Linked DNA regions of Neodiprion lecontei. The protein of the gene in region 1 purifies or fractionates together with the protein of each later gene. This does not show direct contact. Links are inferred from orthologs where the notes say so. Each region holds a gene or a part of one and is shown on either strand. Other genes may lie near its edges.

Region 1 (8,617 bases):
AACCTACAAAAACAATATAAAGTCAATACCTATATAATCAAACCCTTGACACATGCTACAGTTTAAAAGGTGTATTTTAGTCTAGAGGCCTAGAGGGTATAGCCGCGTACCAAAAATGCCCCCGCTCGGAATGGATTCTGCAAGTGACTTTCTGTTTTCTATTGGAGAATGATTGACCCATACCAAATTTTAGCCTTCTAACTCCATTTCGTACGAAGTTATCGTAAAAAAACGCGATTTTCAGTCTTTTTGCGTTAAATCCGCCATTTTAACTCCGAAAATTATGAAGAAAATTACAAATCTAGCAGACATCTGTACACATGTCAAGGATTTTTTTCAGGTTTTTCAGTAGCAAACTCGAGCGTCTAAAAATTCTTGAACATTTAGATTGCTGATTTCCGGTGGTTTCTAGCTAGTGACCACCTTCTCTTTTCGACAGCTTGAATGTCTGGTTTTGTGTAATTTTCTATGATTTTTTCTGAAAGTGCGTCATTGTTAAAAAAATTAAAAACCGATATTTGTCATTCTTTTATGGGCACGATCTCAAGATAATTTTTTCCACATACAGAAATAACACTGGTCACTGTAATGCATAACCAGTTTGGAAAAACGTTTCCGATTTAACGTTAGTTTCGACGTCTTTGACCATATTATTCTGAAATTAATATATTCTTCACAAGTTAAACTTGTGTATCGATTGTCATTAGCAGCTACTTCCGATCGCAAGTTCGAACGCCGTTTTACATCGATATGATATTTCCAATCTTCGATCTGTTATTTCCCAAATAAATACCGAAGCCTCATGATGCAGTCTCATGTAAGGTCGGATCGTCGGAATCCGCAAAAGGGTGAAACATTTGTGAGTTGGTATGGCAAGCCCCCATTTACAGAGTATGGGTAGCTGTTAGCAATGTGCCTCGGGGTGCCGTAAAGTTAATTTATTTATACAAATTCAAGCTATTTATTGGGTACAAATTAGTTGACTTAATTTTCTGTCGGCAATAATCATAATATGGGTTGAATGTGTGTTACTTACGATTAGGTATAAAGTTTGCCGCTTTGAATTTCCCATTTCTGATATAGGATACGGAATCTTGCAACTTTGAAAATCCTCGAGTAAGGAGTTTCGTAGACACCCTTCAACATTTGGCGATTTGTACTCCCATGACAAAATTTTCTGATAAGCCCATATGTAGTCTGATATAGCTTAATATGACGTGATGTAAATTTATATGTAATGTTATATCAGAAAATATTTTACCGGAATATACATAATCATATGCGAACATATCTGACCATATCAGGCTGCATGTATTAAAACTTGATTTCCTTATTGACATATCAATCTATATATGGTCGTATCAGGTTACATAAGGCTATATCAGGTAATGAAATCTAAGCATTTACAGCTATATCCGGCTACATATGGCTACAATAGCTTTTTTTATCTCGGCAGCAAGTCTTCTGATATGGTCATATTCATATATGAGCTGATATTTCAATATATGTCCATATCAGAGAATATCAATGAAAAATCAAGTTTTAATACATACAGCCGGATATGTCTGCATATGATTTTGTATATTTTGGTGAAATATTTTCTAATATAGAAATGTATAACAATATCAGATTATATATGTCCATTAGAATATGTCCATGTCAGATCATATAGTCATCCTTGTTGAAAAGAAACTGTTTTTCCATGTTCCAATTAATAAAGAATACAAAAAATTCAATTGAAATTTTTTTCTAGTCTCTATAATTTCGATTTTTAAAAATCAAATCCATTTTTTAAACGCAGTTATACAGAAAAATTGTTTTTTAACGGGTTATTCACAATCTTAACATGACAGCCTTTCTCGTAGATGATAAAATATTTCAAATTTAGTATATATAGAAGTTTCCAAAAACTTCTCAGGTATTTCTACATTTTAGTTATAAATGTATCGCAGATCTGTATAATTTATTGTACTAAATTGAAGTTTTAAGTGTATTGTATTCCGTGATATTGTTGTGGAAGGTGTATGTCTGTGTTCCATGAGTATGAGAAATACTTAGATATAACCATATATAATCTAATCGATCCATGTAAGACCAGATCTGGCCAATTTTTATAACAGGCTATATATAAACTGATGTAGTTTGATCTGTCCGTCTATGTTCAGATCTGCCTAATTTTCATATCAGGCCTGATATGGACATTTCATATCTAGTTATATCTGGGCTTATTAGAAAATTTTTTCACAGGCTATTATATTTGAAATTTTATTCTTGACATCGAATCTATAGTTCAGCAACCATACGAAAAACTGTTCATGTCAATCAGCGATTCTTAGGTAAATTTGTTCAAATATTTCAATTCTGGCAATAGTTTGTGATCCATATCTAACACACTAGAGTAACGGATACTTTCACCGACTTGCCATGGTACGTCTACCATGTGACTACTTGGTGTACTCGAGAAAGACTTTGATTTTATTATTATGGCCTTGCTATACTTACTGCTAGTTGATAGTGTAAGCAGATGTTTATTGTGTTGTTCGTATAGATACAAGCTTCTATTAAAGAATAATCAATATCAAATAAATAGCCAAACTAATACTTCTAAAACAAATGGAATTTAATAAAGATTACGTATCTTTACCTTATGAATACAATTAACTTATATGTTTATATGCCAGAAATAGTGTTCAATTAATATATTTCAGTACAGAGCTAATTACTGAAAAACTACATTTTGATATTACCTAGTTTCCTTCACTGTGACAATTGTTTATGCAGCAGTGAAATTTTTTTATTTTTGAAATTGTAAAAATTGATGAGTACTGAGAACAATGATAACGGTGAGGGTTATTAATAAGCAGTACGTATGAAAATAATTGAAACCATATCTTCAACTGCTTGAATAACTAAAAATTAGACCTTAATTATAATTGCATTATATAAACTATTCATCTTCCGCTTCCAAGTTGATGTGTGTGCCAAACTTAGCGTAGAGTTGTGCTTTCAAATCGCTCATTACTACCTTGAGTTCTGAGGATTTACTTTCCAGCTCTGCAATTTCTGCTTGCTTCTTTGCTTTTGCTTCCTCCAATGATTTCTGACACAAACAAAACATATAGACGTGTTAGTTGTGATAAATAAATGTAACATATATTGGCAGTATGAAGACCCATCAAATAATAAGATGGTTCTTTGAAACTAGTCGATACATGGCGGATTCGTGGTGATGTTCAAATGCAAGAAGTAAGATGGAAGGAGATGGAACAACAGCCTGCTTACCAGCAAAAAGTGGGCCTAATTCTGGATCCACTATTATAGTAACAATTTCCTCAATTTGTTGTACTCGTCATCTTGGCTTGTTTACGTGTCAGTTTTCACCCCCATCACCCCCTCCTGTTTTACTACTCACAAGTAAATTCGTGGAATTCACTATTCGTGATGTCACAACAAAATCCAATTTGACTCCCTTTTTTCAGATTCAAGTTAGAAAATATCGATTGTAGACGAAAAATTTTTGCAATCAAAGTTGTGGAAAATTGAATTTTCTACAAGTGTAGTTACTGCCATTTCTACTCGAAAGTTGAAAATAAACGAATCATTTAACAACAACAAGTTGCCGTTTGAGTCAGGCAGTACTTTGGTCCTTACCCAAGTGTCTAGCATTATTAATTTTGTAAATAAAACATCATTAGCTATTAGAAAAAAACAAGTTCAGCCTTGGTCATTTCACATTCTTGCATCTCTTTTTTTTACCCGTTTTAGGCCCACTTCCAAGCCAAAGACTACACCACAAGGTAACCAGACTTCAAAATTCCGTATAAACTATGTTTGAAGAATATATTAGGATAGAAAATATGTATGGTCAAAAAACGTGATTTTTTTTGTCACTGGCTCTCCATCTATTACAAATGAAATTAGGATGAATTTGAAACTAGTTACCGCAAACACTAAATTTGTTATACTTAGAATAATGCAGTCCAATTTCAGGCATAAGATTCTATACATCTACTAGCTACCTATTTTTGAGAATCGTAAAGCATTGACTCTTGAATTTCACTGCCTTATTTTAATCAACGTTAGAGTATTTTACCTTCACCTCTAATTGCTAGAGGCAGCTTCACACAATTATATATTACAAATTTTCATTACCTAGTCAAAGGTACGATTATAATCCACCTTACCTTCATTCTATTTGGTATAGAAAACAACTTGATAATTAGAAAATACTAGAAATTTTGATCTTGCAGTTCAAATAGTTACATTGTAATTATAACAATATGATAAGAATAGTAGTAATAGTAATAGTAATAACAATCACTACCTATCCTGCCACACCCAGCAGGGTATATACCCAGAAGCTATTGTTAGGTTATGTTGGATAAGGGATGAATGGCCAGTAACCATCATTATACGTCTGCAACTACTTTGAAAGGTTCATTGTAAATACCAATATGTGCATGATAAAGGAGCACAGCTGGAGAAAACCTGGCATAAATGTACTTAGAGTGGGTTCAAACTTCAGCATTTTAATTCTGTGTCTGAGCAATGTGACAACTCTTAGATTTTTTGGAGGCTCAGGTACTCCTCGACTTGCTGCAGTTTTCAACCCAAGTCCTCTCATTCCAAGGTTTTGCAAGCGGATGGGTTTTGCAATTTTGTAATTTTATTTCGATATATAATTATTTCCAGCACTTACGAGTTAACAAGTATTATCATATTGTAAACAGAATAATAGCAAGGATGGATCATTCAAGTTTCAATTATTCACAATTAATTTGAAACGGTTAATATCAAGTATCGGAGCAATGCCATTCAATGATCTCAGCAAAATAACGTAAATTATCTCTGGACCAGTTTGGAAATTTTATAGAATTTTCATAAAACTTTGAAAATGTGTAATAGAAAGTCTTAACATAATCAGATTCACTGAGGTATATTCAAACATGGGTTGAACTTGATGTTTTTTATACAGGGTATTTAAAAAAGGTGGATACACCTGGATAGCACGAAAACGACGTAACTTAGAGATAAACTGATAATAGATTCCCGAATAATTTTTCCCTGGGAATCCAATGGTAATATTAGTTTTTGGACCAGATGGGCCCAGGGGGGCCTTATGAGGCCCAGCTTTGAAATTTCAAATGGAAAACCCAATTTTTTCGTTCGAATTTGGATTCAGCGGGAAATTTTACGTCCGAATACGTATTAACCATCGCTGGGGTCATAAGCCCCTTCCTAGTGACGTAGGGTCAATTTCGATACTAAAGAATTCTGGATACACCTGGATAGCCTGAAAACGAAGTAACTTAGAGATAAACTGGGAATCCCATGGTAATATTAGTGTTTGGGCCCGAGATTCGGAAATCTATCATCAGTTTATCTCTAAGTTACGTCGTTTTCGTGCTATCCAGGTGTATCCACCTTTTTTCAACACCCTGTATATCCATATTTGCCAATTAAATTGTAAGAACTAGTGATAATAAAGTTGGATAACCTGGGTTTTTTCAAAATCCTGATCTACAAATACTTCTCCAATGAGGTACGGTATTTTCACATCGTCATCAAAGAGGGAGAGTTCATCGCAGGCATCTTCAAGATTTTTTATGTCATTCTGAAAGTCGAAAATTTAAGAGATGAGTTTTTCGAATGCTGCCATGACCAAATAATGCATAACATTCATCACCGAAGACAAACACCTATAGATATTCGTTGGAAACTATCATGATGTAGACTCAATGGCAATATCCTATATTTTTTACGGTTTCACTTTTGGGATTAAAACGTTAGTCGAGTTGGTAAAAGTAAGAATTTTTTATACCAAAGCTTCCTGGCCAATCCCAAACTTGGCTATGCCAAGCTTCATAAAGCTTCATTTGGATGAGTAGTTTTAACAACACTCAAAAATCAGGTATATTATTGTTGGTTTAGAAACCATATACAAATATAAATACCTGCTTCGATTTTAATTCATCTTTGTAATCTTCTAGCTTTGCGTTGTGCCTGGCGAATTTGTTAATCTTTTGCTGATCCTCGTAAGTAATGTGGACATCAGAATCCTAGCAATTAAAAATTTAAGTCAGGTTATAATAGGATGAACTACGTTGAGTGAGCTAATGTTGGAATTTCTAAGTCTAATACTAACCGGTTGGAATCCTCCCTGAGAGTTTTTACCACCTGCCATATTTTTTGGCCGGGAAGAATCAGTTTTTAAAGTTATCAAAAGTATGTCCAAGTGGACCACAATCTTGCATAAAGGTTAGGAACGCTGATCCTTGCCAAGCTCCGTAAATGGAGAACCGCTAGAATAGGATAGTTAGGGTGGGTTCATATAGAAGCGCAGTGGCGTAGAGCGCGGTTGAACGCCAACAAATCAAAGTATGTACCTGAAATATAGTGTTCACTAGGGCCGTGTTCGAAAATTGACTGACAGTACTGTCCAGTGTTCCCAACCCGTCCGTGGGGGGCTATGTGACCAGGGCCGTAGCATTATAGTACCGAACAAAAAATTATAGTACTTTTTTGAAAATGTTAATAATGCAATAAAATCACGGAATATTATTTTCATAAGTATATTATCCCTATCCATTACAATACGCGTGCGTACTTACATTTAATTGTACGAATGACCAGAAGGTACTTATTTGAATTATTTTTGTACACACTAGGAATGACGGCAGGAACTGGCGGGAAGCGGGAAACGGGGCGCTCAAATCAACACCAACGCGCCTGAGCCCGAACCGTGCATGTCAGCGCCCTCCGCAATAATGTGGTTAAAATTAAAAACCACATTATGGTGAATGGCGCTGACAATTTTTTGCCTAGCGCGAAAAGATTTGAATACGTTTCTTTTGAAAAGTATTAAAAATCTTTTTTTTTCGAAAAGTATTAAAGAATTTTGTCCCGCCAATTTTTGTATTACAAAAAAAAACTTCTTTTTATACAAATTTCTAAATTATAGTAGATTTCCGTCACATAATGAAAGTTCTATGTTATATAGTACGAAGTTCATATTTATGTGACATCTACTATAATTATGTGACGGTTAGGAACACTGGTACTGTCAGCAATCTTTTATCTCCTTTGCGCTTCCAAGTTCGTGGATAGCTCTGACTCTGTCCTAAGGAATTTTCAGTACTGTCAGCCAATTTACGAACACGGACTAGTATTAAAATTCTCAGTGAAATTAATGAAAAAATATCGTAATTTTACCGTAAATTGACGACATTTTCTACCCTCTAATCTTGTGTTATGAAATTATGGTTACAATTTTGTTCGGTAATTTTTTTATACCCAGGTAGTATTCTGTCGCAAGTTTGTGATGTGACCGTCACATGCGTGCACGCATGACCCTGCCGGCAGGCAACTATCTGTGAGTTACACCCGTATTTATAGAGGTTTCTCTCTGTTTATAGTCCTTCTGTAACATCCGACCGAAACGTCCGTATGTTTTATCGACTGTTATTACTGCATGTTACTTTTATCAACTAACCAAACTCGAAGTACGAGAATCTTGTAACCATAAGGAATTAAAACAACTGTCTAACTATTTGGAATATCCCTAGATGGAAATAACTATGACATTCACTAACCAAAGCTTAAAAACCAAGTTACGAGATCTTCGCACTACAAAGAGCTATAATATTATTATACGTTATTATATATCACTATCATATTAACACCATAATTAACTAACACGATTACATCCAATTATTATATAGCACTCGACAATGCCATTTGTGCATTCGGAGCTGAGAGCTATACTATAAGCAACTTACGCTATACCATATAGCCTGGAGTATAGAAGACTGTAAAAACATAGATAAATGTATAACCATTATGATGTAAAGATAGCACTGCTGCAATAATCCATAAAACTAGAGACTGCAAAACCTTCAAAACCGTGAATACTAATTATTCAGCATGAACTATACTCTTCTCCGTAACGCCGTGTTGTAGGCAACACGCGCAACGTTTTGAAGGCAATACAGATCCCCAATGTGGAGCCATACAGAGCTTCATCTAGAGAACACATTAGGAAACTTACCGACGAAACGATTGAAGGTAAATCAACTCGCAATAAACTCAAAGATGCATACGTGGCAACGCCCAATAACAGGCAACCGACAAACATAAGAGAAACGTTCTGGAAGCTTCTAAGCCGATTTATATCAATATAAGAATTAATAATTACAGAAGAGAATTATATACGAAAGCACACATGTAAACCTGCTCTAAGACTATGAATTATCAAATTGTTAAATACCCTAAATCTGTTATGATAGTTATAACACAAACAACTAAGAATATTCGCAGCAGCGCGATTCTAATAATGTCAAGCAAATAGCAACTATGTCTCATAAACAATCGCTATTGTACTCCAGGTGAATAACGACAGTAATCAATTATAATACATACGCAATTTTATATAGTTACACGCTGTGAAACTAACAAACGACGAGTAACCAATATGACAATCTTAATATATAGACTTTGTAACGAACAGGATAGTAGGAATATTTAAGAAGTAAACAGGAACTGGAATTCAGCGCATTGTGACCCCGAAAATGCACACGGCACTCACATACACCACGAAACATGGGTCACCACTAGCGCA
Region 2 (2,916 bases), on another chromosome or scaffold:
AAATACAATAAATCAGTTGAAGCGCCAAGTTTTGGCACATGTAGATTTTTAAGTGTAGTTTAAATGAAGAAAAAATGTTGAGGTTCACGGAATCAGTTTAAGATAACTAAGTGGATTAAATTTAAAAAGGAAAAAACAAAAAAAAAAATTAGCCGTAAGGAAGACAGTCTGTTGTATGTAACATTCCTGTCGCTGGAATAAATTAATGATAATTGTAAAATGATTTGCTGAAATCAATTATACCCCATGTCTTATTAATTATAAGAACATTTTAATGATCATTCTCACATGTGGTCACTAGGAAAAAGTTCGGAAATTTTAAATTTGTATAATTTGAGAGATGAAGTCTGGCTAAATAGGATAAGCAATTATTGCACCATAGAGGTGACTTACTCATTCTTACAAAGGATATGCACAACAGTAACTGTCACCAGGACAAATAAGTAACGTCCCTACATTATTAAATAACCAGTAACTACGTAAGGTAAAACGAATGAAGGTAATATGTAAACATGATAGGTTTATTTTATGGATTACATTTATCGAAAGCACACAAATAATAATGATGTTAAATTAGAGTTACAACTGATAGATGCGATATTGCTTGAATAAGGGTACAACTTCGACAGAAGAGTAAAAGCAAGTAAAGATGTGAAACTGCTGTATCAACCAGAGGATTCGTTGCTTTGTCGTTGCTGGACCATTTCTCTAACGTTATTTGCGTTATCCTTTAAGCTACGCTCCAAGAACGCTTTATTGTTTTCTAGAGTTTTGATCTTCTCGTCGGCCGTTTTCATCCGTTTCTCAAGCCCTTCTTTTACGCTCGCGATGTCGTCTAGCAAGAACATTCGACCCACACTCTCGTAGGTTTTCGTGTTTGGTGGAAGTGAGGTTACCTCCTTAACCGTGAGCTCGGCATGCTGCTTTGTTCGTTTTAACGAATCAATTTGTACGTCTGCGAGCTTTAATTTCTGTGTCGTATCAATTATCTTCTGTTGTAGTTCGGAAAACGCTTTTTTCAGCTCCTGGTCTTGCGCTTTTGCCATTTTTTCGTTTTTACTTGCGAATTACTAACTCCACGTTATGTCAAGAATCGCTGAAAAGTGCACACCGCAAAGAACGAAAACCCAGGATCGACTATACAAATGCTGTAATCACGGCTTCGAAATACATATATAGATGCTACGATCACGGGGCGTTGATGACACGGCCATTTTTTTAAAAAACACTCTCTGAAGAACAATAATAATAAATAAACATTTTACCACCCGTCAATTGTACCAATGAGGATGCATTACACTATACTCGCCAAAAATCATTTTTAGTTTAATGACACTACTGTAATTACTGCGAATGTGCTCGTCGTAAAATCATAAAGATCGGGGAGAAAGAATTCATAAATCACTTCTATATGGTTATAACGTTTATATTGTCGCATAAATACTGTGTGTCACAATGACGAATGATGTGCGTATTTCATTGTATGAAAACAATCAATCAAACAATTCGTGATCTTACTTCTAGCAGGCGTACCACGTGTTTGTAAAATGTGTAATTCACAGAATGCGGTATTACCCTGACGTTTGATAATAGTTGTATAGTCCAACCTGAATTAGGGGATACCGCGTGAAGAAATCGAGACAATTGTTGATAAAATTTGGAGCTCACTGTTGTTAACATGACATCAAAAACGGTATTCGTTACGCAGGAGGGACCGGCAAATGCCTTAGCCCTAAATAAGGATAATACTCAAGTTGTGATCGCTGGACGCAATGGTAGGACAACCTTTTTCAAATCCTTCCATACGACTAAGCTGTTTTATTAATTTTCAATACAATTTACTGGTTTATTAAAGATTTATTATCGATTTTCTCCCTTAGTCTTCAAAATATTCGCCCTACTTGAAGACAAGTTTGAAGAAGTCTGCAATCTGAGAGTTGGGAAGAATCTTAATCTGAATTTTTCATGCAATGATGTTGCTTGGAATTTAATCGATGGTAAATAATATACGAAATATTTTTAGTGATGCAGCAATACTTGGTTTGGAAAATCCTCTGTTTCCTTAATTATCGGTATTATTTTCTAATTAAAATCCTGGATTGGCATACACCTCATAATTCATGCTATAAAAGAATGATTAAATGTCTTTTTTAGATCACATATTGGCAACCGCAGCCACCAATGGTGCTGTGGTGGTATGGAACCTGAATCGACCTTCTCGGTCAAAGCAGGAACACGTGTTTATTGATCATAAAAGAACTGTGAATAAAGTGAGCTTTCACATGACTGAGCCTATGTGGTTAATATCAGGCTCTCAAGACGGAACTATGAAATGTTTTGATCTCAGAATTAAGGAGGCTACTAAAACATTTTACAGGTATAGCGAGCCATATGGAAATACTATCCAAATTGCTCTTGCAAAGGTTTATACTCCAGTGAAGTTAAGAGTCAATCTGTGTCTTGTTCATTTACTTGTAAATTCATTGATTTGTTCACTCTTATAGCAACACAGAATCTGTGCGAGATGTGCAGTTTTCACCGCATCAACAATACACATTTGCAGCTGTTTCGGAAAATGGTCATGTTCAGCAATGGGACTTGAGGAAACCCGACCGATGCTTCCAGCATTTCACAGCACACAGTGGGCCAATTTTTGCTTGTGATTGGCACCCTGAAGCCTCGTGGCTAGCTACTGCCTCACGTGATAAAACAATTAAGGTATAGATGGTTATGGGAATATACTACAGGGATTTTTTTAGTACTTATATAGAAGAACAGAGATTAAAATTTGTATACTTCAGGTTTGGGACATATCAGCTAAACCCACATGTGAATATACAATCCATACAATTGCATCTGTGGGTAGAATAAAATGGCGACCTCAAAGAAAGTATCACATCGCAAGCTGCGCCTTGG

The links. Proteins that work in one complex are often made in the same cells at the same time.
Region 2: the proteins of probable prefoldin subunit 4 (region 1) and prefoldin subunit 1 purify together in Homo sapiens (affinity purification with mass spectrometry; 5 studies listed by BioGRID and IntAct, counting the BioPlex papers as one, with this or other methods). This does not show direct contact. The link is inferred for Neodiprion lecontei from reciprocal best matches to the Homo sapiens genes PFDN4 and PFDN1.

What each region holds. Positions count from the first base shown.
Region 1 is NC_060260.1:21,084,675-21,093,291, forward strand, and holds probable prefoldin subunit 4, read right to left. Parts: upstream 6,322-8,617; 5' UTR 6,185-6,321; coding exon 6,146-6,184; intron 6,060-6,145; coding exon 5,955-6,059; intron 5,615-5,954; coding exon 5,498-5,614; intron 3,101-5,497; coding exon 2,948-3,100; 3' UTR 938-2,947; downstream 1-937. UniProt on the Homo sapiens protein: Binds specifically to cytosolic chaperonin (c-CPN) and transfers target proteins to it. Binds to nascent polypeptide chain and promotes folding in an environment in which there are many competing pathways for nonnative proteins.
Region 2 is NC_060261.1:40,149,700-40,152,615, forward strand, and holds prefoldin subunit 1, read right to left. Parts: upstream 1,064-2,916; 5' UTR 1,047-1,063; coding exon 666-1,046; 3' UTR 501-665; downstream 1-500. Other genes in the region: GATOR complex protein WDR24, read left to right, coding at 1,679-1,775, 1,881-1,997, 2,155-2,377, 2,505-2,718, 2,802-2,916. UniProt on the Homo sapiens protein: Binds specifically to cytosolic chaperonin (c-CPN) and transfers target proteins to it. Binds to nascent polypeptide chain and promotes folding in an environment in which there are many competing pathways for nonnative proteins.